Linked DNA regions of Alligator mississippiensis. The protein of the gene in region 2 interacts with the protein of the main gene of each other region in a pairwise test. Links are inferred from orthologs where the notes say so. Each region holds a gene or a part of one and is shown on either strand. Other genes may lie near its edges. The genes, in order: KCNA4, SAT1, translational activator of cytochrome c oxidase 1 and DMRT3.

Region 1 (7,389 bases), on a different chromosome or scaffold from region 2:
CCACATTGTCTGTATGTCAGGATGAACTATTGGCCCTTTTCCCCCTTGCAACCACTACTTTTTCATATTGGACCTGTAGTTAAGCCTGTAACCTGGTGACAGTCTGCCAGCAGTGATGGTGAGTGGGAAGCTGCTCTCTTTCACCCTTGGTTCCTGCATCAAAGTCCCAAGGACAGCTGTACAGGTCCAGTAAAGACTGATGTAGGCAGAGATTGACTTTTCTATTTCTTCTTCTGCCATCCTTTTAAATATTAGTGCTCTCAGTCACATGGGTTGGATCAATATGGCTCCTCACTAGTTTCTGTGAGTTGGCCTGCCTGAGGGGAGGGAATTTGTCAGAACAAGTCCTTCGTATGAGTATAGTAAAGCAACTTTTATTGAGAAAACACAATATGACAGTGTGTTGGTCAGTATCATAGATTAGCATACTGTCAGGATCCACAGAGGCATTCAGCCTACTGGTTAGAGTTGGGGGGGTATTACCAACATCTAGTCAGGGGACAAGCCAAAGTCAAACCAGCAAGTGGGGTTACAAGAAGCGGATGTCAGGAAGCAAGCCAAAGTTAAACTGGGGTTCCGAAGTTCAAAGATGGTACATGGAAAGGAACGTGGGAACCAGCACCAGGGAAGTCACACGGATGAGAACTACACACTGACTGAGGGCAGGGTGTTGTGCAGTAGGGGTAGGTGCTGTAAGAGCTCCTTAAGCCCTGGAACCAATCAGCAAGCTCAGGCTCAACTAGCCCTGCTTAGGGGGTTGAGTGTTGCTGACCCAGTTGCCCATCTGCACTGCAGAAGCCTTACACATATGGCAACTTTGGCAAGAACCTTACCAACTGCTGGGTGGGCTATTGGGGATGTACCAGTCAAGTCTACACTGTTCAGACACTGTAGACATGTCAGCTTCATTTTGGCACTGGCCATGTGACACAACTAACTTTGGTCCTGTTATATTAACCATTCATGCATGTGCACATCTTCTGCCCTGATCATTATGGTGTTCTGTCTAGCAATATTAAGCTTAGTAACATTTTAAGAATATAGCACAACTTACTAAATATAGAAGGTTCCTGCTCTATCCATTACTGGCATACACCATCATCAGACTACCTGATCATTATGGTATTCTGTCTAGCAATATTAAGTTTAGTAACATTTTAAGACTATAGCACAACTACTTACAACTAGCGTAAGCAGAACTCAACGTGCCTTCTCAATGTGTACCTTTCCAGTGGTGCCTCACCCTGGTGCTAGCTGTGACAACAGAAATGTCCAGCTGATATCAGTAGGGAGATGTGAACCTGCCCTAATTTTGTCTGTAATGCACTCACATTCAAAATAGATATGGATCTTTTCTAACAGATTACAGCTGGGGAAGGCTGTAAAATAGTTTTTAAATTATATTTTCTCAACGTTGTTGGAAAATAAATGGCTAAAAGCATTTATTTTGAATGAACAAGGATATCTTTTTTGAGCTGTAAGAATGAAAAAAATAATCCTATTGGATGCGTGTGAAGCTGTATTTTAAAAATGAAATAAAAAAAAAAACCATGTTATTTATAGGTTAAATCTTACTTTTGACCACAGAAATTTTTTGCTGATTTTATATATCATTTTTTCACTGTAATCTGTACTGTGCTGTGTATATAAATAAAAGCATGGTGTAATAAGCAGATCTTTGGCCAAGATGTTAGTAACTCCTAGATTCTAATCCTGGCTACAATCTCTCTCCCTCTTTTGCCTTGAATTATTCATCTAGTTGACCTGCCATAATTTTCCTTTCTTTAAAATAAGGAAAATAATGTGACTTAGCTCAAAGACCTTGTAATATTTATAATATTTATAAATTGCTTTTGAGACTGAAAGCACTGTACAGTCAAGATCCATGTAGATCTCTACTGTAAATTTTGTGTTAATCATTCAGAAGGTCCTTTGATTTCTTTTCAGATTGCACAGGTAATAAACCATCATAACAGAATTCTTCTACATATTAGGGCCAGATTCGCTGATGGTATACTGTGAAGTAATAATGCATAGTTAAATTGGTGAGGTATCAATTTATAACAACAAAGAATTTAACTTTTTTGGAGTTCATTCTCCACAGGCAAGATGATGCAGAAAGAATTCTGCATTCCTTTGGTACAATACAGATAAACGGTGCTAATGTACAGTATACAACTCCATTCGACTACCAGAGAGCAGAGCAGATCTCTATAGTGAGGTCCTTTTATTACAACGTACTAAATGCAGTTCTACCCCTGGAGATATTGGCCCACTACACGTTCTGTCTCTTTGTTCTACTAATATTTTCCCTTGGAAAGACGAAGGAGGGGAGAGCAGGTAAAGGGATTTTAATAAGAATGAATGTCTGAACGAAAATATGATTAATCTACAAAAATATGATGAATAAAATAAGAGTTGCAGTATTTTTTGTAGCAATCTCAGTCATCTATAAATAATCAAGGATTGCTTTTTTGCTTTAGAAAGTGTCTGGGAAAAGGTGGATCAGCTAAGACTTTGGGGTTTAATTGGATCACATTTACTTGCCTTGTCTCAATTGTATTAGAAAAGACTTAAAAAGAGGGCCTACATACAGAGAAAGCTTTACAATATAGAAGGTACCTGCTCTATCCGTTACTGGCATACACCATCATCTGACAGAGTGCCCTTTTCTTTGCTTAGGACTGTACTTTTGTTGGTAGAAAAATAGAAAGGAATAACAATTGAAGAGGTGCACAATAATTGGATCCATTTCTGCTGCTGTCCTTCACACGGTCTTTTACTGTAACAGCAGTAAGAGGCATGGACAAGAAAGCAGATCTGAAGCTCTGAAAAAAATATGATAGCTAACAGAGCCTAGCATTTTTCTTGTTTTCAACTTCCACCCCCTACCTCTGCTGCCCAAATATACCACCTAAATAGAAAACAAGTCTGAAGAGCTCCTACTAAAACAAAAAATCTCCAAACTGCCATGTATCCTGCATGCTGCCAAATCCTAGGCCTGGAACATGACTTCTACAAATTTTTGAACTAAGCATTCAAAGTTTAATGCCTAAATGGAAAGTAACACTATCCACTCCCAGTACACTAACATTACTAGATCTTGCTGCATCTCTTCTACTTTGTTACATAATCTGAGTGCTTGGTCCTATGAGATTCAGGTGCTGAATATATGTCTTTGCAGTAGATACCACTGGTGCAATGGTACTTGATACTTTGCAATTTAAATGAAGTAGCTGGTAGTAATAAACAAAGCAATCTGACTAGAACCAGTAAGATCCAGTTTTCTCCAGTGCCAGTTTCAAATATGACCTGGATATTTTGGGGGGTGCATTAGGAACAGTTATATTTTCCCACTATTTTTTAAAAGGCAATTTGGGAGATTCTGGTTAAAAATTGGTTGGATTCATATGTATTTCCTAGTTTGATGGATAAAGATACAATGTGATCTAGTTGTTTTTTTGGTTTTTTTAGCTATGTAGGAATAACTACCCTTGATTTCTATTAAACTGATAGAATTTGAGGTCTGTGGCCAAATCTGTTCAAGACTCAGCCAGGTGCTGGATACGCATTTTCGTGATGCCCACTAATGTGCGGGGAGAATCTATCTAGGTTGTGAATATCGTGGTGCTGAAGCAGCACTACACTGGTTCTTTGTTCCTCTTAAGGAAAACGAGGGATGAAGAGCAAGTTTGGATGAATCTGGCCAGACAGAGATGCAGCAGTACTCATACACAAAGCTATGACAGGGTCATTTGGTAAATAGAAGAAGACTGACATAGAAGAATAGAAAATACCATAGAAAGAGAAAAATAAGATTTTATATTTAAGAAGCAGAATTTGGGGTAAGATATTGACCGGATCCAGTTGCACGATCCAGGTTTGTTTCAGCGTTGGTGCTCCGAGCTACCTTGTGGCTTGGATGTGGTGCGGCACGGGCGGTTCAAAGGGTTGATGGTCCAATTTGGGTGAGTGGAGAGCAAAATATCAGCTGAATCCAGGTAGATGTGGGTCTTCCTGTTTTAATTTAAACTTTGGTGCTCTGCTTCATTTTGAAATTCCCAAATTCCCTCCAGTGTCTCTGCAGCATATTTTTCTTTCTTAGGGGGGGAGGAAAAAAAAAAGACAGAGCCTTTAGCATTGACTTAATCACTACATTTTATTAGCCAGCTTATGTATTATTCAGCGTTGGAATATTTCTTTCAATAATTAATACATTAATACAAAAAGGGAGCACGCCTGGGGGAAGGAGGGGGAGCGTTTGCAAACAATGAGGGTGCAAGGGGAGCTGTGGCCGCTAGGGGCTGGTAGAGAGGTGGAAAACCTCGGGAATAAATCAGACCTAGCCCCGGCGTTTGTCCTTCAGTGGCACGTAAACACGGCTGAGAAGCGGGCAGGAGAGAGCAACAGGACTTGCTCGAGTTACAACCCTGAACTCATTGATCACAGCGCCCGCTTGATGGCTGCGCAGTTTTGAAATCAGGGAATAAATGCACCGCTAGTGCTTTTTTTGTTTAATCTTTTCCTTTTTATTCATTCTTCCCTCTCCCTCCCCGCCGCCAGCCCAATCCTTCAGACACAACAGCCACAACAAGTGGATGCTGCGAGAGCGCCCGAACTGCGCGGCGATCAGCTGCAGTTCAAACGTGCGTGCGAGGGAAATTGCAACAAGCAAGACATCCTCTTGCCAGTAGCAAGAGGCGGGTTGGGCACACGGATTGCTTGCTTGCTTTTTGACAAATCTACGGCAAAAGCCGGGCTTGGAAAAGGCCACATCCATTCATTCCCTCTCTCCCCCCCCACACACAAGCCCTCTATTGTCCCCTCCCCCGGCACAGGAAATCTTGCTCGTTTATTATTTTGCAAAGGTAAGGAGTGATCGCCGCTGCCCAGCATCCCCCCAACTCAGGCTGGCTGCCTCTCTCTCCAGGAGGTCTTGTTGCACGCAAAGAGAAGCCAGAAAAAATAACTCATCAACCTGTAGGGCTGCCTGACCCTGCACCTGCAAACAGAGATTGTTCAACACAATCCTCTCTTCAAGATCTCTCTCTCTCTCTCCAGATCCTCAGGCTAGCGAGAACAGCGTTGCTCTTTCTCTGCCTAGGAACAGTAAGTATAATAGCTTTTTGGTTTGGGGGTTTTTTTTTTTTGCCTGGCACACACATCTGGCATTTTTGTCATTTAACAATTAATATCCATCTCCTTGTGCTGTATGAATGTAAAAGGTCGCTGGACATGAGGATGCTGGTTCTGTGTGTTTGTGTGCGTGCGTGTTTAGCTTTTGCTTCATTGCCTCTCCAGTTTGCATTTTCTTGACACACACCATGAATATGCTTCACTTGACATGCCAGTGGATGTGCCTGTTTCTACATGAAATGCAGTAAAATGTTCACTGGGACTGAAACACAGTTTAGACATAGCACATACTGTACCATTGCTGTATCTAATTAAGTTCTAAAAATAAACCAAAGCTATAGCCTATACATTTTTTTTTTCTTGAACTAACTGATCATGCCAAATGTGAACGCACTCTGTGTGTGTATGTTTTGGCTTGTGCATTAGTATTTATAGATTGATTGCTTTCTTTCTATCGGAGCATGCATGTGTTTGCGTATGGATGTGAGCATGTACATGGGTGTACATTTTCTATAGATATAAAATACATACCCACCCACAACCATACCCACACAGACGTGTGAAATCTCTCTCTGTGAGATATGGGTGTGTATGTACAGTATAGATTTGAATAGTGGGGGTGGTGGAAGACTGAACACCTTAATAATAAATGACACTATATTCATTTGTTCAGCACTGTGGCCTCTTAGGAAAATGATCCAACCTCTTCCCTTTTTGTTTGTTTGTTGTTTTTTGTATGTGTATATGCATGTGCCTCAGGTTAAGTGCTCCTTCAGCATGAGAATAACCAAAGGGTGATCCACTCCCTTGTCTCCTATGGGGATTGCAGAGCCAGTTTTGCAGCCTTCATCATCTCCTCCTCCTCATCTTCCTACTGCTGCCGCCATCCTGGGTGCAGCTCCCAGGTTTGAAACACTGTTGACAGGCTGAAAAAAGAGGGCATGGATAGACCTCCTCACTGTGTAAACAATATGAGAGCTGGAAGTTGCTTCAACTCCCTAAATAACAATATCAATCAGTTATCAGACTACTAGGCCAAAGCACTGCTTGGAGGAAAGTATGAGAAAACAGGCTATTTTTATTTGGTGACACTGGTGAACTAAAGACCTGAAACTTTTTTGGTGGCAAAAAACTAATAGAAGAGTTGCCCTTTCTATTTGCATAAACATTTGCTCCTTGCTGGATGTAATCTTGGGAGCCTGCAAGAATATCATGAAATTGTTCAGATCTGTTGATCCTGCATACACCACCAGAGAATACTAAAACCAAAGGGGCTTGGTGGATGAAAGGACAAGGCCTAGGCTCTTTCCTGATCAAATTTGAGAACTTCATCTTTTGATTAATTTCCATTCTTAGCAAAAGACATAACTTTTGTGATACAGCCTGGATGATAAAGAGATGCAGATCTGTGGTTGCTACAGTTTTACAAAACACAGACTCAACGCAACTGGTATCCTGATGGGTTGAGCTTCCAAGAGACCAGCCTCCAAATGCAAACACCTTTGAACTTCCCACAGTAAAACAACAAGCTTTGACAGCAGATACACCGAACATTTTTGCATTAAACAAATAAACAAACAGTTGCAAAATGGAGGTTGCAATGGTGAGTGCAGATAGCTCTGGATGCAATAGCCACTTGCCGTATGGATATGCGGCCCAGGCCCGGGCCCGGGAGAGGGAACGACTGGCACACTCAAGGGCGGCAGCGGCTGCAGCAGTGGCAGCGGCAACAGCGGCAGTGGAAGGTGGAGCCACTGGTGGAGAGGGGCCCTATCACCATTACCACCAGGAACAAGGGCGTGGTGGGAATGCATCCCGCAGCAGCCAGCCCCAGCGTCAGAACAGCAAGAGGAAGAAGCGAGGCAAAAAGAGAAGCCACCATCTGGGAAGCAGGGAATGTGGGGCCTCTTTCCCCTGCTCTGAGTTGTTGCCTCTCAGTGGCTCAGAAGAGAGAATACTTAAGGATTTGAGTGATGATGAGGAAGAAGAGGAGGAAGATGAGGATGAAGAGGATGAGGAGGAAGGAAAGTTCTACTATAGCGATGAAGATGGGGTGGATGATTTTTCATACTCAGACCAGCCACCTGATGATGGTGGCGGTGGCGGTGGCCCTGGGAGCTACAGTTCAGTTCGCTACAATGAGTATGAGTGCTGTGAGAGGGTGGTAATCAATGTGTCAGGACTGCGGTTTGAGACTCAACTGAAGACCCTGGCTCAGTTCCCTGAGACACTGCTGGGTGATCCAGCAAAGCG
Region 2 (6,926 bases):
CATATCACTACAGCTCTGTTGGTATAACAACAGTCACTCTATACCTTCCTCATGAGCTGGTGGGAAGACTTTCATCCCTGCAAACTCTACATATCCCTAGCATAAATTCTGCTCATTCTGGTCTTGTCTTCAAACTTAGGGCTGGTGCTCAAATATACAAGCCCCACATAAACCACTGCAGGATGGACAAGGTGGTGATTCACAGGAGGAACTAGGAAGGAACAAAGTCAAGAGATCTCCGTTTAGTTAGGACAGTTAGTTAGATGGTTCAGACAGGGCCCTCAAAGACATAATGGCAGAAGTTAGTTACTGCGATATGCAGTAGCAATTTGAAGAAGTTAATCATTCAGCATAGGACCACTATGAAGAGTCAGTCCTGACCCTTCAAAATAGCTGCAACAGGAAGGAATGAACAAAAGTTTTAACATTTACAAACATAAATAGGATCCAGATTGAGACTTAGTGTATGCAAGTCGGTGAAGCTACATCTACTTGCAACACATCTGATTTTAACCCAGGAGATATCATTAATCTTTGCATTTACATCAGGCTCTTCACCACAGTATCCAAGCGCTTTTCGTTGGTAGAAACATTTTCTGCAATACGGGTGTACTTGGTAGCCGTGTTGGTCTGAGACAAAAAGACATACAAAAAACTAGAACTCTTGGTTCCAAAATGATACTCTCATAGTATGGTCTAATAAAAGGTATCTTTGTGAGCTATGTTGAGTAGCTCTTTGATGTGTTGATCAGGTAGAATTCCTTCCCTGGAGGGGCCTCCCTGTCTGCCATCTGACATAAAAAACTTCTTTGTTGTTCTGCAATGAAGTTTAAAATCCAAAATTGACTAAAATTCGGCATCTTCCGTGTTTCAGGGGTAGAATTCCTTCCCTGGAGGAGTACACCTGATCAACACATCAAAGAGCTACTCAACACAGTTCACAAAGACATGCACATGGACCCTGAGGGACAGACTCCCATCTTCAGCTCCCTCTGTGTAAAAATGAAGTTTATTTCCTACCTATGGGGACTTTTTACCATCTTGTACCATCTACACTTTTCCCCAAAGCCCGACAAAGGGACTTTGATCCCAAAAGCTTGCAGAAAAGGACACTTTTCTCGCCATTTTCCAGTTGGTCTAATAAAAGGTATCATTTTGGAACCAAGAGTTTTAGATTTTTGTATGTCTTTTCTGCAATATAAAATTTTCACTAGAAAAGTGCCTTGTTTTGGCAAAAAACAGATCTAAGTCCTGAACCAAAAAAAAAGATGCATTACATCTGAACCTTTTTATACTTCACTATGCACATGTAACACAACACCCCATATAAGCAGTAGTAACAGAGAGCTTGATCTTACAAGCGGCTGGGCATTATGTCCTTCATTTAGCAATTACTAAATCCTGTGGTTAACTTCAAGCAGGTGAATAGTGCTGTTGAAGCCTTAACCTTTATAACCCCTTGTCTTGGGAAACAAACAATTAAAATAAACACTGAGACTGCTGCTAATTCTTAAAACTATTTTGAGAGGTTAATTCAAATTATTCTGTGTTTAGAGCTGGCTGACTACCTACTCATCAATAAGATGAGTTCTGTGATTCAGAGGGAAGGTTAACTGGAGGTCAAGGGAAAATGCATGCCCTATTTGCCATTAGTTTCACTTCCAAGGTTTTTGCAATTCTGATGCTAAAAAGCTCTGTTCCTTTTGCTGGATGATAAAATGAATTCCATCAATTCCACAGATCTCACATTTTAAAAGATCAGTTGATAATGTGGGTAACATGCCTAACAATGAGGATTACACAAGAATCATTCAAGCAGCGTCTTTGTTGGATTTTTATATTAGTAAACTATCTACACCTTGACCATTCTCAATTTAATGCAGGCTTCTCACCACTAAGGCATGCTATCATCTCGACAACAAATAGCCAAAGCCTAGGCTCCTTCTGCCCAATTTATAGGGAAAAATGAGACGGTTTGAAACCTCTGCTGAACTCAGCAGTTATCAATTAACTGATTGCACTAGCAAGTCAATTAGCATCATAAAACATGAATTACTGTTATATGGAGGCTTTGAGGTGTGACTATTTGAGTTACCTGGGGAGAAAAAAAAAAAAAAAAAATCAAGAACTCTTGGTTCAGACATGATACCTTTTATTAGACCAACTAATAATTTATCTAGCAGAATCTTTCTTTTAGTTTTTCTCTCATCTGCATACCATATCCTGCAGTGGCCCACAGAATGCTTTCTGATTTTTCAATATTTTTTCCCTCCAGCATACATATGAAAACAAACCCAAATGAGCCATGTTTGCTGGGATAATGCAGAGTCACCACATTTTGGTGCAACTGGAGAAGTGGGTGCAAAGCTAAATTCTCTTAAAATGCTGAAGCTAGGGTGGGGGAGAAGTCTAATCAGATTTTAGTTTCTGAAGTCATGAGACTGAGAAAAAAGAAACTAAGTACTTCTCTACATTACTCAATTGCAGTTTCCTGACAGTGTGGTTTCCTGTATGACAAATGAAAAGAAGAAAAAAAAAAGCTGAGGACTTGTGAACACTGAAGTTGTTTTTGTATTGTGTTCCTCATGCACAGGATTTCTGGAACGTCATAAAGTTTTCATGAATACATTTCTTTAAACAACACCTCACAATCCCCCAGGTCTTATACCGACCTTACTAGAAATTCCTGTGGCACTTGATTAGAGAGTGCAACCGGCTGGGATCTTCCCACAGAACTTCTTCCCACCACCAGCACCAAAGCGTTTGCCTAGGCCCTGTGGCAGAAACAATGGGTACACAGGGCTTTTTAAGGGTTGTTGGTTGTAGCCAGGTTGGTCTAAAGACACAGGCAGGCAAGGTTCTTTGGGTAGAGGTGATACCTTTTATTAGACCAACTGAAAATTGGACAAATTGTTCTTTGCAAGCGGTCAGGCACAAACACCCTTCTTCAGCCATAGAGAGTCTGCTGGACTTTTCCTATGCCTGAAAACAACCAGCAGCTTCTCTTTATGCCTGAAGGGCATTTGTGCCCAAAAACTTACAAAGAACAAAGTTTTCCAATTATTTAGTTGATCTAAAAAAAATAGCACACATACCCAAAGAACCAGAGCACCAGTGGGAGAAGAGGCAGAGATTTTTCTTTTGCAAACCATCACAGGTACATCACTCCTGCGCTACCACCCCACATGAGGGACATGTTGTGCAACTGCAAGACAAGCACCGCTTTACGCCAGCCGCAGCAGCTCTGGCAGCGCTGAGGTCAGGCCCCTTCAGCCTGGCTGGAAAAACAGTACAAGGGCTTGTGCTTTAGGAGCCAGAGGAGCGCAGCCAAGCCAAGCAAGGACCAGAGAAGCGTGCTGGTGGCCTCGGATTAGTCAAGGTGGTGGAGCTGGTTTACTGTGGTGGAGGATGCCTGGCACGCAGAGGAGTACAACCCCTGCCCCCAGGAAGGGCACACAACCACAGAGTGCACACTCCCTGCTCTGGAGACAGTAGCAGACGGGCCACAAGGCTTCCCCCTTCATTAAGGGGGGCGGGGCGCTGCGTGGGAGCGAGGCGCCCGCACCCCACTAAGGGGCGCCCTTGCCCCTGTCTCCAACGGCGAGTCACGAGACGCCGGCTGTTACTAGCAGAGTGAGGTAATCCGGCGGCGGGCGCGCGGCGGTTGGCTGAGAACGCTGGTGCGGGCGCGCTCATTGGCTGGCGAGGCGGAGCCTGCTAAGCTATAAATAGGGGCCGGCGCGGCTCCTTCGGGCTAAACGCCGCTACGCTACCGTTCTAGTTGGGCGTTTTAGGACTTGCTGTACACCGCCGCATCGGGTCATGCTCGGAGCCTGACTAGGCGCCCGGGACACGAATGAAGAAGCAGCTGCTCCTCCTGTTCACTCACCGGGGACTTGTCAGCCGAGGGGGCCGCAGGGGAAAACGCCGCCGAAAATGGCCTCGTTCCATATCCGTGCCGCACGCCCGGAGGACTGTTCTGACCTGCTGCGCCTTATCAAGGTGCGGGCGGAGGGGTGGGGACTCGCGCGTGCGCAGTGTGAGCTGGGCATCTCCCCCTCCCCCCGCCCTTTTTGCCTAGAGAGGGAGTCCATTCGGAGGAGGAGGGAGGCTTGCGCATGCGCGAGTAAGGGGGGGGGTGGAACACTTCTGCGGCGTTCTTGCCTGGGAGTCGAACGCGCCTGCGCACTAGCGTGGGCAGAAGCCAACGATTACATAACAGGCAAGGGAATATTGGGGCCTCTGTCTGCACGTGTAAGGAAAGGGGTGGGGCTTGCGCATGCGCACATCCTTGCGAGTGTTGACAGCTTCTCTGGTCCCTTCTAGGAACTAGCCAAGTACGAGGACATGGAGGACCAAGTCATACTGACTGAGAAAGGTAAGGTGCTCATTGGCATGGTCAGCAGCTCCCCTCGGTTGCCATTCCTTGTTGGTGCCTGGCTCTAATGTCTGCCCTCTTTCAGATCTGCTGGAGGATGGCTTCGGGGAGCACCCGTTCTACCACTGCCTAGTGGCAGAAGTGCCCAAGGAAGCGTGGACACCAGAAGGTGAGACTTGCTGCTGCTGCTGGTCTTAACACGAGAAACCCACAGGCCGCACGCAGCCTGGGGTAATGCTGCTGATTGTACATAAGGCTTCCGCTGTTAAAACGCGGTAAGAGGAAAAGGTTTAAGTGTTGAGATGCAACTGTGCAGATTGCAGTAGCTTTCTAAGTAATCTGCCAGCCTGAAGAGCATGGGAGACCAGGTATAATAAATATAATGTGCTTTAATTCCATTTCATTAAATGGTTTTCTTGTTTGACCCTAATTTACCTCTTATGTAATCCTGTTGAATCACATTTTTTTTTTAATTTGTCCCCAATCTTCAGGTTACAGTCTCTAGCTTCGCCATGTACATGGCCCTTCCGTGTACATGGATGGGCGGGGAGGTAACTAAAAGATCCGTTACACAATAAAGTAGATGATCATGATATGAGGTAAGGTCTACAGGGACAAGTACTATTCCCAAACCTTTACCAAAAAAACACGGTAGATCAGAAATCCTGTATGCACTGTCTTCCTATGAGCATGTGCGAAGCACTATGGTAAAAATGTGATTTCAATTTTTCAAGTTTTAGGATTGAATGGAATGATGTGGGAAGAGTTGGCTCCTCTTCCAGGCTGAGCTATGGAATTGTTGTTGGTCAAAGTAGATAATAGCTTCCTGTTGCTGAGGGTAGAGAGAGACTAATGCTATCAGTGGGAGCACAGAGGAAGCAGTGTTGGAGATGCCATTACAGCAGCTAATGGCTGTGAGAGAGCACTCCTGGCTTCCCACAGAGCAATTTTTGAGTAATTGGAAGATGAAGTAGTGCTTTTTAGATTACATTCATTATTAGCTTTATGCTCAGATTCTAAGGAAGCAAAGTTGAGCTCACTGTCACCAGATTCTGAACTGCCGTGTCAAACTTAGTCTGATTTGTATTCCAAAGTGGACATACTGATAAATCATTAGGGTATGTATGTATCTGTACCAGAAAACCTTGGTTGTTTGGTGCTTATTCTTAACTGTAACACTGGCTTTGAAGATGCAGGGTATCAGAAGGATAAGTTCTCATTTTCTAAGACTGATTCAGGTTGCAGGAATTTGTCTTAACTGTAACTTACTGCGCTTATTGTAAACTTCTATTCCTAAACCCAGCCTATGATAGTTGCAAATTTAATAGTTGCATGTTACAGAAATGGCCTAGGCATTAAGACATGCATGTGAGACTAATTTCTTTTTTTTTTTTTTTTTTTTTGAAGGCAACAACATTTTAAGTTTTTACTAAAGTAATAAAACTTTTTGTTTCAGAACATTGTGTTGTGGGTTTTGCCATGTATTACTTCACTTATGACCCATGGATTGGAAAACTGCTGTATCTTGAAGACTTCTATGTGATGTCTGACTACAGAGGTATGTTCTAATCTATAGTAGTAGATTGGAAAATTTATATTTTTCTAAATGGTGTACTACTGGAATAGCTTGGGGTTTTTTTGCTTTTTAGGGCTTGGCATTGGTTCAGAAATTTTGAAGAAGCTGAGTCAGGTATGTTGTGGCTTTTTCATTCTTCCATTAGACTTTTTTTTAAGCACCAAACAAGTAATATGTAATCAATGCTGTTTATTGGTTGTACAAACTACTGCCTTCAAACACTACTTGGAAATAAGGGATTTAGTGGCATTAGTGAAAGAAAAATACATCCTATAAACTGTTTCTACTAATCCTAATTCTGACAAGCACAACAGAAAGTGGACAAATCCCAGAGGATAGGGTAAAGGAAACCAGCCACACTTAACACTGCAACCACTGTTTAGTGGCATCCATTTCAGCTCTGATTCAAGCTGCAATTTATTAGCCTATTAGTGGAAGGATAGCCAAGTTCATGTATACAGCAAATGAGATTGCTCTGTCTTTTAGTCTACTCTGTAATATTTCCATAGGTTGCTGTTAAAAGTCGCTGCAGCAGTATGCACTTCCTGGTGGCAGAATGGAATGAACCTTCCATTAGGTTCTATAAGAGAAGGGGTGCCTTGGATCTGTCGACTGAGGAAGGGTGGAGACTCTTCAGAATTGACAAAGAATACTTATTGAAAATGGCAACTGAAGAGTGAAATTGTTCCAGCACATGACAAATCCTATCCGCGAATTATACTTTGAATAAATTCTTGCCTTATTCTTGCTTTGTGTACAGTCTGTAGTGAAATAAATAGCACAGATGTTCAAGAGCTTTACCAGTGCTGAGAGTAGTACTATAGCTACTGTACCCCAGAGTTGACAGCTGTGAAGTCCAGTTTTTTTGCTTGTATACATCTTTCACTAGTGTGGGCTTGTGATCTTTAAATATATATTGAATAAAACTTCATTCTTGTAAGTGTAATGCAAATGTGTACAATGTACACACGG
Region 3 (7,988 bases), on a different chromosome or scaffold from region 2:
GGTTCTCACAAGCACAAGTGACCTGTGGTAACTCAAGGTGCTCCCATGAGCCACAGAAATATCTCATAACTCCTAATTTCTCAGCTTTGATGCCACCCTGCCTGCAGCAAGCTGACAATTAATATTTGCTTGAATGGGTTCTGAGCACCCTGACCTAGCTCATTTCCTGCCCCCTTGCTCCCATGTTACAGGACAAAGAAAAGAGATACCTTCCCCTCCCCCCGCATCCCAATCTGCCTCCTCCAATTCGTCCACAGGGCAAGTTTGCAAAAAAGGAAATTTGGTTTTACTCTGGGAGTGAAGTAGACGCATGACATCACCTTACCACAGAGTAAGTCTTTCTTTTCTGGGATAAAGTTTCCCTGACAAAATAACTGCAATAACATTACTCCACGGCTAATTTACTACAGAGTAAGTGCAGGGTGTCCACAACTTCATCCAGGGTAGCCCTTCACTTGATACAAATTGGCTCCCTTGCCACCTAGTGGCCACACAATGCAATAGCACCTACTGCAGATCCCTTGTGAGAGTTGGTTGTGTCCAGTCTTTACTCTGGAGTACAAATCAGAATAAAACTGGCTATAATAACCAGGGTGTGTGTCCACCATATGATGAACAACGCTCCCATTTTCAGTCTCTCTTTACAGTAGACTTTTCTTAGGTGCTCTAGTCTTTCTTATGGTTCCCTATGATGGGCCTCCACCTCTGGATTAGCCTTCCATAGAAGGCTATGGAAAAAGACTGATGCCAGAGCTCACAGTTGATAAGGGAATGGATGGCAATTAATTCACTTTTCTTCTCCAGAATACTGTTTTCTATCATTATCATCACAGCAGCACCTGGGAACAGAACAAGACATTGCTTCTTGAAAAGATAAATTATACCTTGGCTGGAGGATATCAGTATCCCAAACTAACAGGATATTCCCATGTGTTGCCATTTAAGTTGTCACTAAAACTAAAAAAAAATTGCTACACATTTTTGCTGAGTTTTTTTCCTCAAAACTGTATATTAAAAAAGTCAAATGTCTTCTGCCAAGTTTTTTATAAATGTACATTCAAAAAAAAAACAACTGGGGGTGGGGGGGGAGAAAAACAACCAAACACTATGTTTATAACACTGCTGCGTGGCCCAAACAAGTCAAACACTACCTGGTGGCTCTACAAGGAGCATAACATTGTCATTCTGTTCTGCTGAACTTCTCACCCACTCCCAACCCCATCATGACCCTCACTGCAGAACTCAGAGCAACCACAGCCCAAGCATGAGTGCAGATGTATGCACATACACACGCACACAGACTCACACAAACCACCCTTGTGCAGAGCTGAGCTAGCAGCACCGTATACACACCACTCCCTTGATGGCCATCTCAATTGAGGCTTTGGGCATGTTGTTGTTGCGGCATTGCTCGATGATGTTGGCCAGGTTGCTGTTCAACTCGGGATCAGGTCCCCCCTCTGCAAAGGGGACAGGAAAGGGACAAGTCACAAGAAGGGAAGATGTGGCCAGAGTCTCAACGGGGACATGTCTGCACCACTCTGACCCCAAGGATTCCAGACATTATCCCCTCTCATGGGGAGAAGTTCCCATAGCTGGGGAGCTGGTAGGGGAAGGAATGGGAACAGAAGTACACCCCACACAGACCCAAATACTACCCTGCAGCAGTCCAGGCAGGACAGGGATTTTGTAGGGGATGGGCTCAAGCGGCTGCACACTCGGCCCATACCTCATACAGAAAAGCCTAAGAGACTCCCCTAGACTCATACATCGCAGAGCAGAGCCCCTGGGACCCCCTCCCCCCATACCTCGCACAGCAAACCGCAGCATCATGGACAGCTTTTGGAAGATCTGGCTGCGCTTAGCATCCCGTGGACCCTTGATGTTCTTCACCTTGGACCACTTGTTGTGGCCAGCAGGGATGGCACCTGTGATACGTAGTGCCCTGCCCAACAGGTAGGGAGGGCCCAGGGCAGACAGACATGGTGCTGACCCCTTCGATGCCAGCGCTGAGGCCAGCAGAAGTCGCTGGTATCGCACAGTTGCTCTTTGCAGGGTGGCGGATGTAGCCATGAGCAGCTATCAGGCAGAAGCTGGAAAGGCACCGGTCTCAGAGCCTGTCAGTAACATGGGCATACAGACGGGTTACACACCTTGGCTTGCAACAGACACATGCAGGTGTCACACTCTCTGGCCTTAATGCGCTGGCATGCATACATACATACAAACACAGACACATGGATATTATACAGCCTGGTCCATGATGCACAAATGAACATCTGCATGTGCATTGTGTACCCACATTACACACTTGGGATATGATTTGGAACAGGTACATCATCTACCCCAGCTTGCTACTTAGACATGTCTGGCCTAAAGCGCATGCATACTCACACACACACACACACTCACACCCTTGGCCTGCAATGAGCAAATGGACACATACTCTCACACAACCTTGACCTGCAACAAGCAAATGGACATGTGCCCATTGCACAGCTTGGAGTGCATCTCTTCCTATCACGGCATAAAATATTGTGTAATTGTCTGACACGCATATACAATGCGACCCAGGGCATGACCTCATCACCAACACACACACAATGCAGCCCAACTTCCAACATACAAGTGCTTTAGACATCACAGTACCCAGCATGACACATGACACTCTCACATGGAATGTGAGCGCCTGTGCCTCCTCTACACGCACATGCAGCACACGTCACGCAACCCACCCGCATGCGCGCACACAGGTGTCACACGGCTGGGGCACAATGTCCACTCCCCACCCCCGCCTAGGCAGGGGGCACCTGGCGCCCGGGCACACGCGCTGGCTCGGCTGCCCCCGGGCTGGGGCGGATCCCAGGCCGCCGAGCTCCCCGCCCCCGCTCCCGGCCCGGGGGTCGCACCTGCAGGGGAGACGCCGCCACCCCCGCGAGCCCCAGCAGCCGCGGGCCGGGCAGGAAGGGCCCGCGCCGTACGTCCCTTTCCTCCGCGCGCGGGGGCAGCTGGGTGATTTTAACCCCGTCACTGCCGGCGGGCGCTCACGGGGTGGGGGTGGGGAGCCACCTTCGTGCCCCCGGGTCCTGCTAGGCCCCCTCCCCCCAAGCTGCGTCCGGCTGTGTGGGGCTGGGCCTTGCCTGGCCACACTGGGGGCCTCGCCCCTCTGTACCTTGCCCTGTGGGCCCGCACTGCTGCCTGTCTCGGCCGTGGCACTGCTCTGCTGTGTCGTCCAAGGCAGCCTGGGCACCATGGTCTCTGTGAGGGGCCACCTCCTCTTCCCACTTTCCTCCAGAGGACGGTGATTGCAAGCGCCCCGCAACACCCGGAGACCTCAGAGCGAGCCTTGCCCCAGACAGACAACCTCGGAGTCCCGGCAGTAGCCACGACTATGCTTGTGCTTGCACTGTGCTTGTTCACGTGGCACGACCCCTTCCCGCTTGCTGTCCCACAGGCAGGACTCGCCATTCCCAAACCCAACTGGAGCAAGGGACGGAGCTGGACACCCTGGATCTCCAGGACTGTGGGAGAAAGGCAACCTCCCCCCTGCCCAAGAGGTTCCCATAAAACACGGGCAAGGTGCCAGCTGAGCCTGGCTGGGTCCTCTCCCCACACCTGCCGAGCTGTGGCAGGCACTGAGTCTGTGGGATACTGGCAGGTGGAGTCATACTAAATGTTTTGGGGCTTTCCCAAAAGTTCCTGCTCCCAGAGCCACAGGAGCCTCCCAGCTCCTAAAGGGAGGAAAAGTGCAAAAAACATTTTTAAAACATTTACACCAAAACAACTCTTTTTTTTTTCCTAGACCTGTTTTTTGGGGCAGCCTCATGCACCTTCATCTAATACTTGATTTAACCAGGGTTAATTTTTCAAACAATCAGCCATTTTATAAGCACTCTGCAGCTGTGCCACGTGTGTTACGTCACAGCTGTAGAGCACTTTCAGGGGCCTGATGGTGTGAAAAAGTAGCTTGGGTAAGCACCATATATATACATATAACTGAACCTGTTACAATAGCCGCAGCAACACACATACAAGCAAATCCTGGTCCCTTAGACCAGGCAATACTTCCCTTCCATCCCCACCCCGCTTGCAGGGTCACATTCTCAGTTCATCTGTCCTCTATGTCGCTGTCGCTCCAGCTCCCGCTGGAGGACTCACTGCTGCTATCCTCAGTTCCACTTGTCCCTTCCTGTTCCTCTCTGTCACCGCCCCCTTTTCCACTCAGAGGGAGTTGGATGATCCTGTGCCACATGTCTCTGTGCCAGGTGGCTTTGTCCGCATCCTCTCCATCCTCCACTACCGATTTCTGGTAGTAGGTCCAGAGTTCGCTCAGTGCCATTTTCACACAGCCTACTACCTCTGCGTCCATTTGCCTGTACAACAGGAGGTTCCTGGCTTTCCACAGGGCACTCCTGATGCAGGACGCAAACTGATTGAAATGGGGCAACAGGTTTCTCTGGAGTTTGTCGAGGTCCCCGTACAGCACCGCTTCTCTGATTAACCAGCTGACGCCAGTCACCACTTCGCAGAGCTGCTTCACCCTTTTCCATACCTCTTTGGTGCAGGTGCAGAGCCAAAGGAGGTGGTCGATCGTCTCAGTGGCTCCATGCCAGTTGGGCCATGGGCAGCTGGGTCTCCCCAGCTACCCCTCTGTGTCTCCGGGCCCTCACTGGTAGAACTTGGTGGGCCATGAGCCAGTTCAGGTCCTTATGATCTTTGCGCAGATCCTTGTAGTCGATGTCCTCCCGCACAGCCTGGCACACATCGCCCGGAAGCAGGTCCATGGGTGACATGGTGTTCCGCACCCTCAACATCTCCTGGATCTTCTTGTGGTTTCTAATGGTTGCTGGGCCTGCACTTTGCAGGCCATACAAACTGCAGCACTTGTTCAGGGTATCGTAGAAACACGGTGAGCCCGTGATTCACAGTCTATGGTTGGTCAGAGTGAATACCCCCCAGTGTCTCAGGATGTGCCCTGCAAAATATTTCACGAGGCAAGCGGTTTTGGATTCTGCATCTGTCACCAGCTTGCAGATCAGACTTGTATACTTGGCCCACGGGAACAGGAGGATGTCTGGCATGCCCCTGCCCCCGGCCCTCGTGTCCTTATACAAGAGACAAGGCAGATATACTGACAGGAGCTCTCTGGCCCTAATCCTCCTGGCCCTGGTAGAGAATCATTGTATTTATACATAATGTTTTAATCTACTGCTGCCCTCTACTGGACACTGTAGTACCTAGATCAGTGGTGCTCAACCTCCTTAGACTCAAAGCGCCACTTGGAAAATGCCAGCTCATCATTTTCATTTGTTTCTTGCCAATTGGAAAATAATAGAGCAATATTTCTGTGGCAAGGCACTTAAAGACCGCAGCAGGTCAGCATGCTTTTAACATTATGGATTCTTATTTAAAATCTTGGGATTTACATGGCGAATCATGTTTACACACCTAACGGTGCTAACTTTGCATAGCACCCCACAACACCCCTGAAAGAATCTCAAGGCAGCCCAGGGTACTGTATCACCCTTGTTGAGAATCACTGGTCTATATGAGGCTTGTGGTGTGAAAACAACTCTTTATTATGTTCAGGAACTTATATAAAGAACTTCTTACATTAAGGAAGTAACACTCTTGCTACCATATTTGCGTGGGTCTGGAATTTAGCCTTGATGGTGTTCTGTCATGCCAGGAAGTTCCTGCTTGCCCACTGAGGCTGGCTCTTGGGCTGCCACACTCCTGAACACCTTACATTCCCAGCAGGATTACTCTATGTCACACACATAATGGAAAGTGGCAGATGACTCCTGTGTATTGGTACCTACAGTGTGTATGTGCATGCAATTGTGCACAGGTCCAGTTCACAACTGGTTGTTCATATCTCCCAGCCACATTCTCTGCACCAGTGAGTGACAACAACTGAAACTGGTCCATGTAAACCATGATAAGGAAGGAAGATGACTCTCCAACTTTGGGCACCAGTGGGTAAACACAGATGACAGAATGCTACTGGCATAAATGTCTGGTAGACTATCAACCCCACCAACAAGACATGCTACCAGGCCTGGTGGGGATCAGTGTCACAGCTGGTGACATTCTGACATACAGATGGAGAGACAACCTGGTGGAAGCTATTGGAGATCATGGCTACAATTGTGATTGTCTGCTGCAAAGGGCAGGGAAAAGGATAAAGAAATAAAAATAAGATGAAAGTGTGATTGACAGCAAAGCCAGACAGAGTACCGATGACTTCCTGGAGGCTGTGGTCTAACCCTGAAATGGGAAAGGCAAAATGGCAGGTATCCATTCATAAAGATATTTAATCAGTTTGGAAATTGCTGTGTCTTGTAAAGGATCTGACAAAGTTTGTTGTAGGTCTCTCAAGGGATGCAAGTTCCTGAAAACACAGAATGAACATGATTACCAAAAGAGGTTGCAGCCATTGCATGTATTGAGGAGCTGGTACTCAAAAGCCTCATTTTGAAATGCTGTAATGTGGAGGAAGAGACAGCTATACAGTGTGATATCTCTGAGATGAGCCTGAGGCATCCTTCTCTCCAGAAGAAGCAGCCAGTAGCTCTCACATCAAGGTTGTTATTGCTAAGGGAACTTAAGGATGATCAAATTGAAAAAGAATGCATTAAAATAATGTTCACACGGGTAAAGTGAAACTTGCATATTCAAGGACAGGAAACCATTTGAAAAGAAACAGATCAGAAACGACTAAGCCCCAAGATGACTTCAGTGCTTGCTACTAAAACTAAAACGCTACATTTCAGACATAAACTATAAAAAAGTGACCACTGTACAGGGTCATTTTCATGGGAATATGGTGATGTGAGATGCTCAACCTGTAAGAAATGCAGAAACACAGAAAGATGCAGAAAACATGAATGAAGCCAGTACCAGCTTGAAAGGTAGGAACCAGAAAGAGTCTCAGAACAAACTTTACAAAACAAAAACTTTTAAGTGCTCAACTTCATAATTCTGTCAAGATGGCCACATGCCAGGGAGAAGAACCATCTGCCTCCTGAGAATGCTGGAACTATCTAGACAAGCTGAGTATACAAGATTATAGGAGAGTAGGGCTGCAAAGGACCTGACCAGGTCATCTAGTCCAGCCCACAGCTCAAGGCAGGCTCATCCCTGACTAGGCCATCCTAGCCAAGTGTCTGTCCAACCTGTTATTAAAAATTTCCAGGGATGGAGATTCTACAACTTCTCTAGGTAGCCTGTTCCAATGCTTGACTACCCTCATAGCCAAAAAGTTCTTCTTAATTTTCAACTTAATTTTTTTCTGTGGCAGTATCCATCCTCTCTATAATCAACCTTCAGGCATTTGAAGACTGTTAGTCCCCCCCCACCCACCAATTTACTCTTCTCCAAACTAAAAAACCCTAGCTCTCACAGCCTTTCCTCATAAATCATGCTTTTCAGGCCTCTAATCTTTTTTGTTGCTTTCTGCTGGATTTTTCCCAAGCTGTTCACATCCTTCTTGAAGTGTGCCTGCCACTTTAAGGGCTGAGCTAAGCAGCCAGCAGGTGCTTGATTGTGGCAGCCATTTTAGATCTCTGACTGCCTGTATAAATGGAGCAGTTGGCTGCTGGTGGGGCAGGCAGAAACATTGCCTGGCTGCAAGGCTGTATGCACCATCCTCAAGATAAGGGCAGGAGCAAAAGGGGATGGTTTGGAGGCTCCTGGTCCTGATCTAAAACTGTACCCTGCCAGGAGTGAGTGGTCTGGTGGTGCTCCCAGTGGTGTGGGAACCCCCAGAAGATGCCAGGCCAGTTACCACCCTGGTGAAAGGTGGGTTGGGGTGCCTTAATAACCCCAGCTCCCACAGCCAGATGGGTTACACCATAGTAAGGCCAAGAAGGTGGACCCAGAGTAGGGAGTGAGATAGAGGCTCAGAGGCCTGACTCAAAGCATCCTCAGCTGGACGATGCTGAGGCCAAGACTGGAAGGGTCAAAAGGGCCAGGGGCCCACTGTG
Region 4 (6,912 bases), on a different chromosome or scaffold from region 2:
ACGACGGAGCCTCCACTCCAGCCTGCCCGCCCTGCCAGCGACCAAGAAGGGCAGAGAAAATGGAGCCTGGGGCCCAGGGCAACTCACCCCACACCCTTGCATGAGAGAGCTCCTACCTTCCCCCAGACCAGAGTCCAAATTATGGGGGAGCTTGGGGCAGCTGAGCCCCCACCCCCATAAGAGATGAAAACCCTCCTGTAAGATTTGAAAATCATAATCTGGAGAGGAGGTCTCGGAGTAGACTTGTTAACCAATGAACCAGTTTAACTTAGTGTTAAACCCCTCCAAGACCCACCCCCAAGAGTCAAAGTGTAACTCCTGACTATCAGGGACAAGCGGGCTGCCCCCAGGGACCAGTGCACATGGCTCCAAGGCGGGCGGGAGCCCTCGGAGTTTGGTGCAGAGCCCAATGCACCAGCCCCAGGCTCCAGCCAAGCCCCCTGCTTCACTCCCACGGGCCGGGATGGCGCGGGGCTGAGCCTGAGAAAGCCTCAGCTTGTCCATCGGGGGTTTCCTCCCCACGGGCAGCAGCCCCCCCCAAGACTATGAGGGCCGCTGGGATGCACAGCGCTGCCCCCACAGCTGCCATGTGTGGGGATGAAGAGGGCTGGAAACCCCCCTGCGCCTTCCTCTGGCTCAGGGGCCATGTCCCTGCTCTCTGCACACTTTCTCTGCCTCAGGCTTTCGCTGGGGCCATGAGGAGCAGCCTGGCAGCCCCTCTGCGTGCAGGGAGCTTCTGTCCCTCAGGGAGGAGGATTTCCAGAATGATTTTGCTGAGCCAAAACAAAAATAAATCTCTAAAAAAAGTGTTAGCTGTAAAGTTATTCAGAGGGGAGGGAAGAGGGGCTGAAGAATGAAGTAAACAAATGGCAGGAGCTGCTGCCCCACTCTCACATTGCCCCAGGAGAGCGCACAAACAGGGCAGGGTCTGCGGGGGTGGGGGAGCCGGGCAGGAAAAGCAGGCTCCAAGGGGGATCTGATTGTGTCCCACCGGGGGCCGCACAGTGCCTGCTGGCTGGGAGCTGCCCCTTCCCACTCATCTCCGCTGCCAGTCCCCACTGGGGCGAGTGAGGAGGGAGCAAGCCACGGATCTGGCCTGGAACAAATTCAATCGGGCTGGGCATAAGGGCTTTGCCCTCGCCTTGCCATACAAGCTGCCATCTCCTGGGACAGCCCATGGGTCCCTCTTGCCCAGTGCCTTGCAGGGGCAGAGAGTGGAGCTGAAAACAAGTGAGGAGTGGGTCTGAGGAGGGTCTTCCCCACTCCTCTCTCGCTTGCAGCCCCCAGCGTGGGGGGCTGATCCAGAGGCTGTGCCCCTCACTCCCCTGCTGCCCCTTTCCTCCAAGAAGGTGTCCAGTCCCTTTCTGAATCTGCCTAAACCATCAGCTTCCCCCGCATCTGGGGGCAAGGAGTCCCGCAGGCTTTGAGGCACTGCATGAAGAGGAGCTTCCTTTTGTTTCTTCTCAACTTCCTACCTTCTCCTTTCATCTTCTGCCCCTGGTTCTTGCCCGCTGAGAGAGGCAGTGATCAATCCCCACCAGCTTTCTCCTGCCCGTGGACTTTGCAGGGCTGGGAGGTCACCTCATGCAAGGCAGGATCATCCCTCTCCAAACCCTCCCTGTACAAGTAGGTAAATCTCCTCTCCAGCCTCTCTTTTCTCAACCACCCAGGCCTGGGCTCCTCACAGGGAAGCCCCTCCATCCAGCTGATCAGCCTGGCAGCCCTGCTCTGGGTCAGGCCAGCGTCCCCTAGGCAGCTCATCTCCAGGGAAGGAGAGTCCTTTCCCTTTTTGGGGGGAGGGAGGGATCCCACTCAGCCTGAGCCCCCCATGCCTCGGGAATGAGGGCCAATGAGGGCTGGAAGGGAGGGCATCCAGCCCGACACCCTGCTCCGAGCAGGACCCACCGCATCCGGACCAAAGGCTTTGTCTCGCCGGCGCTCCCAGCCCTCCAAGGCGGGAGGAGGCTCCCTGCGCTGAGAAAGTTTGCCCGGTCTCTCCAACCCAACCCCGCCCGGCCGCGGGAGCCTCACCTGCTTTGGGCGGCGGCTGAAGGCCGGCGGGCGGGTCGGGCGCCCAGCGCAGGGCGGCGGCGGCGGCCAGCTCGGCCGGGGGGCGCTGCGGGCTGGCGGGCGGCGGCGGCGGCGGGGCGCCGGGCAGGGCTCGCAGGGAGTCGGGGATGAGGCTCTCGAGGCTCTCGTTGGCCTGCTGCCGCCGCAGCGCCACCTGCGCCGCCATGACCCGCTGCCGCTCGATGATGAGGATGCACTTCTCGCAGGTGCAGTCCTTGAAGCGGCAGTAGCGCTTGTGGCCCTTGAGCCAGCTGAGCACGCCGTGGTTGCGGCACCGCGCGCACTTGGGCGTGCGCTGCAGGGGCGCCCGCGGCGGCTGCGACACGGGGCCGCCCATGTACAGGTAGGGCGAGCCGTAGCCGTTCATGCCCCGAGCCGCGCGCTGCTGCGGCCGCAGCCTCTGCCTCCGTGCGGCCGCTCGCCGGCCCGAGCCCCAGCCCCGCACCTGCCTCCCACCTGCGCCCGGCCTGGGGGCGGGCCGCGGGAGGGAGCGGGGGGAGGCGCGCCGGCTCCTGGGCAGCCGCTGCAGCCACTGGGAAGCGGGCGGGAGGAGTGTGTGCGCGCTGGGGAGGGGGGGCTCCCCCACTTGGGGCTTGCTGCTGCTGCCTCCAGGGCTGGGCCGGGCTGGGGGCAGCCGACCCCTCGCTTGCGGCTTCTCGGGGGGGTTCCCCAGCACCCCTCGCTTGCAAGGAGGGCGGGGAGGTGTCCCCCCCCCCCCTGCAGCAATGAGGTGCCTGAGCGGGCTGCACGGGCCCCGGCTGCTCTGCACCAGTGGGACCCGCCGCGCTAAGTTTCACAGGACGGGTACCAGGGGAGAAGGAGCCGGGCGAGAGGCGCCGGTCCCATCCCCTGCGCCCGCCGCAAACCGGCTCCCAACCGGCCGCGATCGCATTTCCTGGCGGAAACAAATGGCCGGAGCCGGCGGGCCCGAGGTCTTGCCTCCCCGCCCGGCTGTTTCTCGCCAAGATGGCTCCTGCCATGCCCCCCCGGGCAGCCCCCTCCCCGGCGGCCCACCCCGAGCCGCAGTCCGTAACTCTGCTTTCCAGCTCCCCCAGCCCGCGCGGCTCAGCTCCCGGGCAGGCAACCAAAGGCGCTTCCCAGCAACCTTCCCCGAAGAAAAAATAACCCCCCAAACCCCGCCGTGAATGCAGCTTGGGATGAAGCAAATTCATCTCAGGCGGTTGTTAAACCCGGACAACCCCCCGAGCTGACTTTCGGAGCGTGGCGATCGCCCTTCTGCTCCCACATTCACTCCGTGCCAGGGGCCGCGGGCTGGTGGCCGCGTTTGAAAGTTTGCCTTTGTTGTTCCTCAACCAACATTTTGTTAAAAAGAAGTTAGTTTTATGCCGCGGCTGTTTGATGGCAGCGGTGACATATTTAGCAACTTTCAAACGTAGAGATCGCTCATTCACTTCGAAAAGTCTTTTTGCCCAGAAGGAGTAAAAGTGCGAGACGGATACACGCGACCTGAGATTTCACTCGGTCCCGTGTTCCTTTTCAAAGCCCTCCTTCGCTTTCCCAGCTGGTCGATTCGTATTTTACACACAAATCTTGCCGCTATCAAAGGAGAGGGGCTTCTTGTCTAACTCATCTGTTGCTTTTTACATGACGAGGAAACTGAAACAGATCGGGAATAGGGCACGCAGTCCATTTATTTTCTGCAGAATGCCCAAATCGCAACACAATGTTTCCCCCGTATTGTTTGTGTCTCTAACGTTGGTTGATGCTAGTCTCACCCCGAGAATATTACACAGACATAGACCACGTTTCCTACAGGCAATTTTAAGCCCTTGCAAAAATCTCTCTCTCTCTCTCTCTATATATATATATCTATATGTATCAATCTGTATCTAGAGATTTTTTTCTATATATCTATACCTACATATAGCTATATATCTAGATATCTATATATGGAGAGCTATATATATATATATATATATATATATATATATTTATATTTATCTATCTATAGATAATACATGCATGTATATAGATAAACTATAGCTATAGATATACACACATGCATATTAACAAACGGTAAGTTTGATAGATGTGTGAGATGTATATAGATATATATCTATGTATCTCACACTTAGTTTTTGAATATTTAGCCGTAGGGTGTGAGATATATATCTAAAAGATAGATACATATATGTACATAATTTCCTGTATTCAAAACTGTATGTATGTATATATTATGTATGTGTATAAATATATCACTTACGGGTTTTGAATACAGCAAGTCGGGACAACTAATCCCATAGATCAAATGCACGCTTACGAATTTACATTAAAAAACTTAAAATATGAGGAAGCGCGTTTACGTTTAAAAAACAAATTAAAATATAAGGCAAAATCGTCTACAGAATCCACCTGGAAAAACTGATGAACCTAGGACATGTGGTTAACTGAATGAGGCGCTGGATTCTTGATGATCCCTACTGTAATAAATGCTATCGCTCTGCTATGGCTCTACTGGCTTTATTTAATTTTGGGGGGAAAGAACTTTTGTCTCCCGGATCTTATGTCGAGACCCCCAAGACAAATCTTTCTCCGAAGATGTTTTGGACTGTATTCCGCGGCTCTGGATTTCCCAGAGCAGAGCAGGGAGTCTCACTGACTCTGTCACCTATCTGGCCACGCATCTCTCTATCCACCGCTGCCATTATTAGGTCGTGGGGCCCCTGTTTCACTTGAGTGCACATCGGGAGTTTAGGCTGAACCGCTCGTTTGATATAGGGCAGTAATCCTTTTTTCATATTTGATGGGAATGTTTTCCATATCCTAGTATTTGACAACATCTCCCTATAGGGACAGGTTTGTATTTATGTTAGCAAAATGTCCCCTGCCTGAAAGTCTATTGTAACCCAACACCTGACAACCCCGAGTCCCATTTCTGTTTGCAGAAAAGGTTTATTCAAGCACATAATGGGATCCCAGCAGAAAGCCTTTCAGAAGCAGGGGCTATGGTAAACTTCACCACATGAACTCCGTTTCCAGGGCTATTAAGCTTTTAATTGGAAAATAGCAGAGGAAATTTCAAGGTGACTATAACGTGTTAGCAGTTAGCGCCGAGAAGAATAGAGTGAAAGGGAATGAATGTGCAAAGCATATGGTCCAAATAACATTTAGGGGGAGAGTGCCCGGTTCTCCTAAATCCAGCAGCTTTAGACGTTTATGGGAAAAATCCTGCGGGAGCTCAGGGGAGGGGGAGGGCAAAACCCAAATGTAACTTCATTTGAGTGAACCCGCTGACAATCGGTTGCTCTTCGATGTTGATTTTTCTTGGGATAATCCACAGATCAGGCTCAGACCGTCTGGGAAATGCAATCTCCAGGGGCCGCCTGGGAATGCTTTGAAAAAGCAAACCTGGGCGAGCTCTGGAGAGCCCGGGCACAAGCAGCCAGCTGACCATCCCTTCGCCATTGCGCGGGCATTGGCACCGCGGGGGGGTTGCGGGCTGTGCTGACATCCTCGAGCCCTGATGACACTAGGGGTGCGGGGGGCACCTCTCTCCTGTCGCCCCCCGGCTTCAGCAACGGGATCTTCCCGTCGCTTGCAATCGCTGCTGGTGAATTTGGGCAACTTGGCAAGCGGTCGCTGCCGCCTGGCAGAGGGGGGCAGAGGGGGATAGAGATGTGCCATGGCCTCTCTACCAAGCCGCCTCCGGTGCACAGAAGATGCCCGAGCCTGGGACTGACCAGCCAGTCAGTGACTGCAAGCTGGTGCTTGTTTTCCCATCATGACTGCGAGACAGAAACGCCCGACAGCTGCAATGAGCTCCTCCATGCGAGGAAACAGTGGCATGAAATACACCGCAGATCCCATGAAAAACAATTTTAAACAATTGCTTATCCGGGTCCAGGATCACACTAATAAACTAGGGCGACTAGAACAAGCAGCTAGGGGAGCCCCCGCCGCCCGGACAGCTGTAGGATGTCACTGCTTCCCGGCCACGGGGGCAAATTTGGGAAAGGCTGGGGAAGGCAGGACTTCACTGCTGCCCCCCGCTTCGGCAGCATCATCCCTTGAGAGCCTGAAGGGCTCGTAGCGGCCAAGCTGAGACTTTTGTGTCCCTGCATCCTTCCTAGATCCCTTGTGTCCCTGGCTCCCTCCTACGACCCTTATGCCCCTGGATCCTTCCTAGGACCCTTCTGTCCCTGGATCCCAGCGTCCAGCCCCCGTTGTACTGAGAGGCTGACCCAGAAAGGACCCAGCCTGGCGCTTCTGGGGGTTTCTTTCCTCCTCTCCTGAGGCGACCATAACGCAGCTGTAGCCACCGGGCAGCCTGCCTTCACCCCTTCCCCTTCGCTAAAGAGGCGCGCGGATAATGACTGACGAGGCAGAGAACTTAAAACAGGCTGCGTGACAAATGCGGGGCTCGGTTGATCAACCGGGACAATATTTTGCGGGGGCCTCTACCCAGGGGTCCACAGGCAGGGGGAGGAAAACCCAGCCCCGGCCAGTGAAAGGCGATCAGTGGCAAATGCTGAGGGGCTCCGAAAATGCAGTGTAGCAGGCTGCGCCCCATGTTTACGTGCCCCACGCCCGGCTTCTCCCAGCAGTTGCCCGGGGGCAGGTCCTGCAACTCTAGACTCTGGGAAAAAGTTGCAGTTTCCCCAAATCCCATTGTGCAGGTGTTTCCACCATTCCCCTCGTCCAAATAAAATATCAACTCCTCCGTACCCATCACCCACCCCATCTGAAATCAATCCCGTCTTGGAAAAAGAGCTAATTTGAGAGCATGAGGCAAAGGCCTGCTACTTGCTGGCATCCAAGAAAACGATCAGGATTTTCCAGGGGGAGGGAAATAAAATAAAATAAAATAAATCCTTTGGCTTG

What was found.
Region 1: the proteins of SAT1 (region 2) and KCNA4 interact in binary tests that used the Homo sapiens proteins (3 or more experiments, as listed by UniProt). The link is inferred for Alligator mississippiensis from reciprocal best matches to the Homo sapiens genes SAT1 and KCNA4.
Region 3: the proteins of SAT1 (region 2) and translational activator of cytochrome c oxidase 1 interact in binary tests that used the Homo sapiens proteins (3 or more experiments, as listed by UniProt). The two-hybrid records come from large-scale screens. The link is inferred for Alligator mississippiensis from reciprocal best matches to the Homo sapiens genes SAT1 and TACO1.
Region 4: the proteins of SAT1 (region 2) and DMRT3 interact in binary tests that used the Homo sapiens proteins (3 or more experiments, as listed by UniProt). The two-hybrid records come from large-scale screens. The link is inferred for Alligator mississippiensis from reciprocal best matches to the Homo sapiens genes SAT1 and DMRT3.

The regions. Positions count from the first base shown.
Region 1 is NC_081825.1:207,409,412-207,416,800, forward strand, and holds the start of KCNA4 (potassium voltage-gated channel subfamily A member 4), read left to right. Parts: upstream 1-4,387; 5' UTR 4,388-5,109; intron 5,110-5,895; 5' UTR 5,896-6,724; coding exon 6,725-7,389. UniProt on the Homo sapiens protein: Voltage-gated potassium channel that mediates transmembrane potassium transport in excitable membranes. Forms tetrameric potassium-selective channels through which potassium ions pass in accordance with their electrochemical gradient.
Region 2 is NC_081824.1:316,091,405-316,098,330, reverse strand, and holds the start of SAT1 (diamine acetyltransferase 1), read left to right. Parts: upstream 1-3,918; 5' UTR 3,919-3,936; coding exon 3,937-4,002; intron 4,003-4,326; coding exon 4,327-4,378; intron 4,379-4,463; coding exon 4,464-4,547; intron 4,548-5,834; coding exon 5,835-5,936; intron 5,937-6,027; coding exon 6,028-6,068; intron 6,069-6,463; coding exon 6,464-6,634; 3' UTR 6,635-6,926. UniProt on the Homo sapiens protein: Enzyme which catalyzes the acetylation of polyamines. Substrate specificity: norspermidine = spermidine >> spermine > N(1)-acetylspermine. This highly regulated enzyme allows a fine attenuation of the intracellular concentration of polyamines.
Region 3 is NC_081828.1:74,614,147-74,622,134, forward strand, and holds the start of translational activator of cytochrome c oxidase 1, read right to left. Parts: upstream 3,017-7,988; 5' UTR 2,910-3,016; intron 2,760-2,909; exon of another isoform or gene 2,736-2,759; intron 2,118-2,735; 5' UTR 2,074-2,117; coding exon 1,809-2,073; intron 1,461-1,808; coding exon 1,354-1,460; intron 1-1,353. UniProt on the Homo sapiens protein: Acts as a translational activator of mitochondrially-encoded cytochrome c oxidase 1.
Region 4 is NC_081826.1:192,449,678-192,456,589, forward strand, and holds the start of DMRT3 (doublesex- and mab-3-related transcription factor 3), read right to left. Parts: upstream 3,003-6,912; 5' UTR 2,438-3,002; coding exon 2,032-2,437; intron 1-2,031. UniProt on the Homo sapiens protein: Probable transcription factor that plays a role in configuring the spinal circuits controlling stride in vertebrates.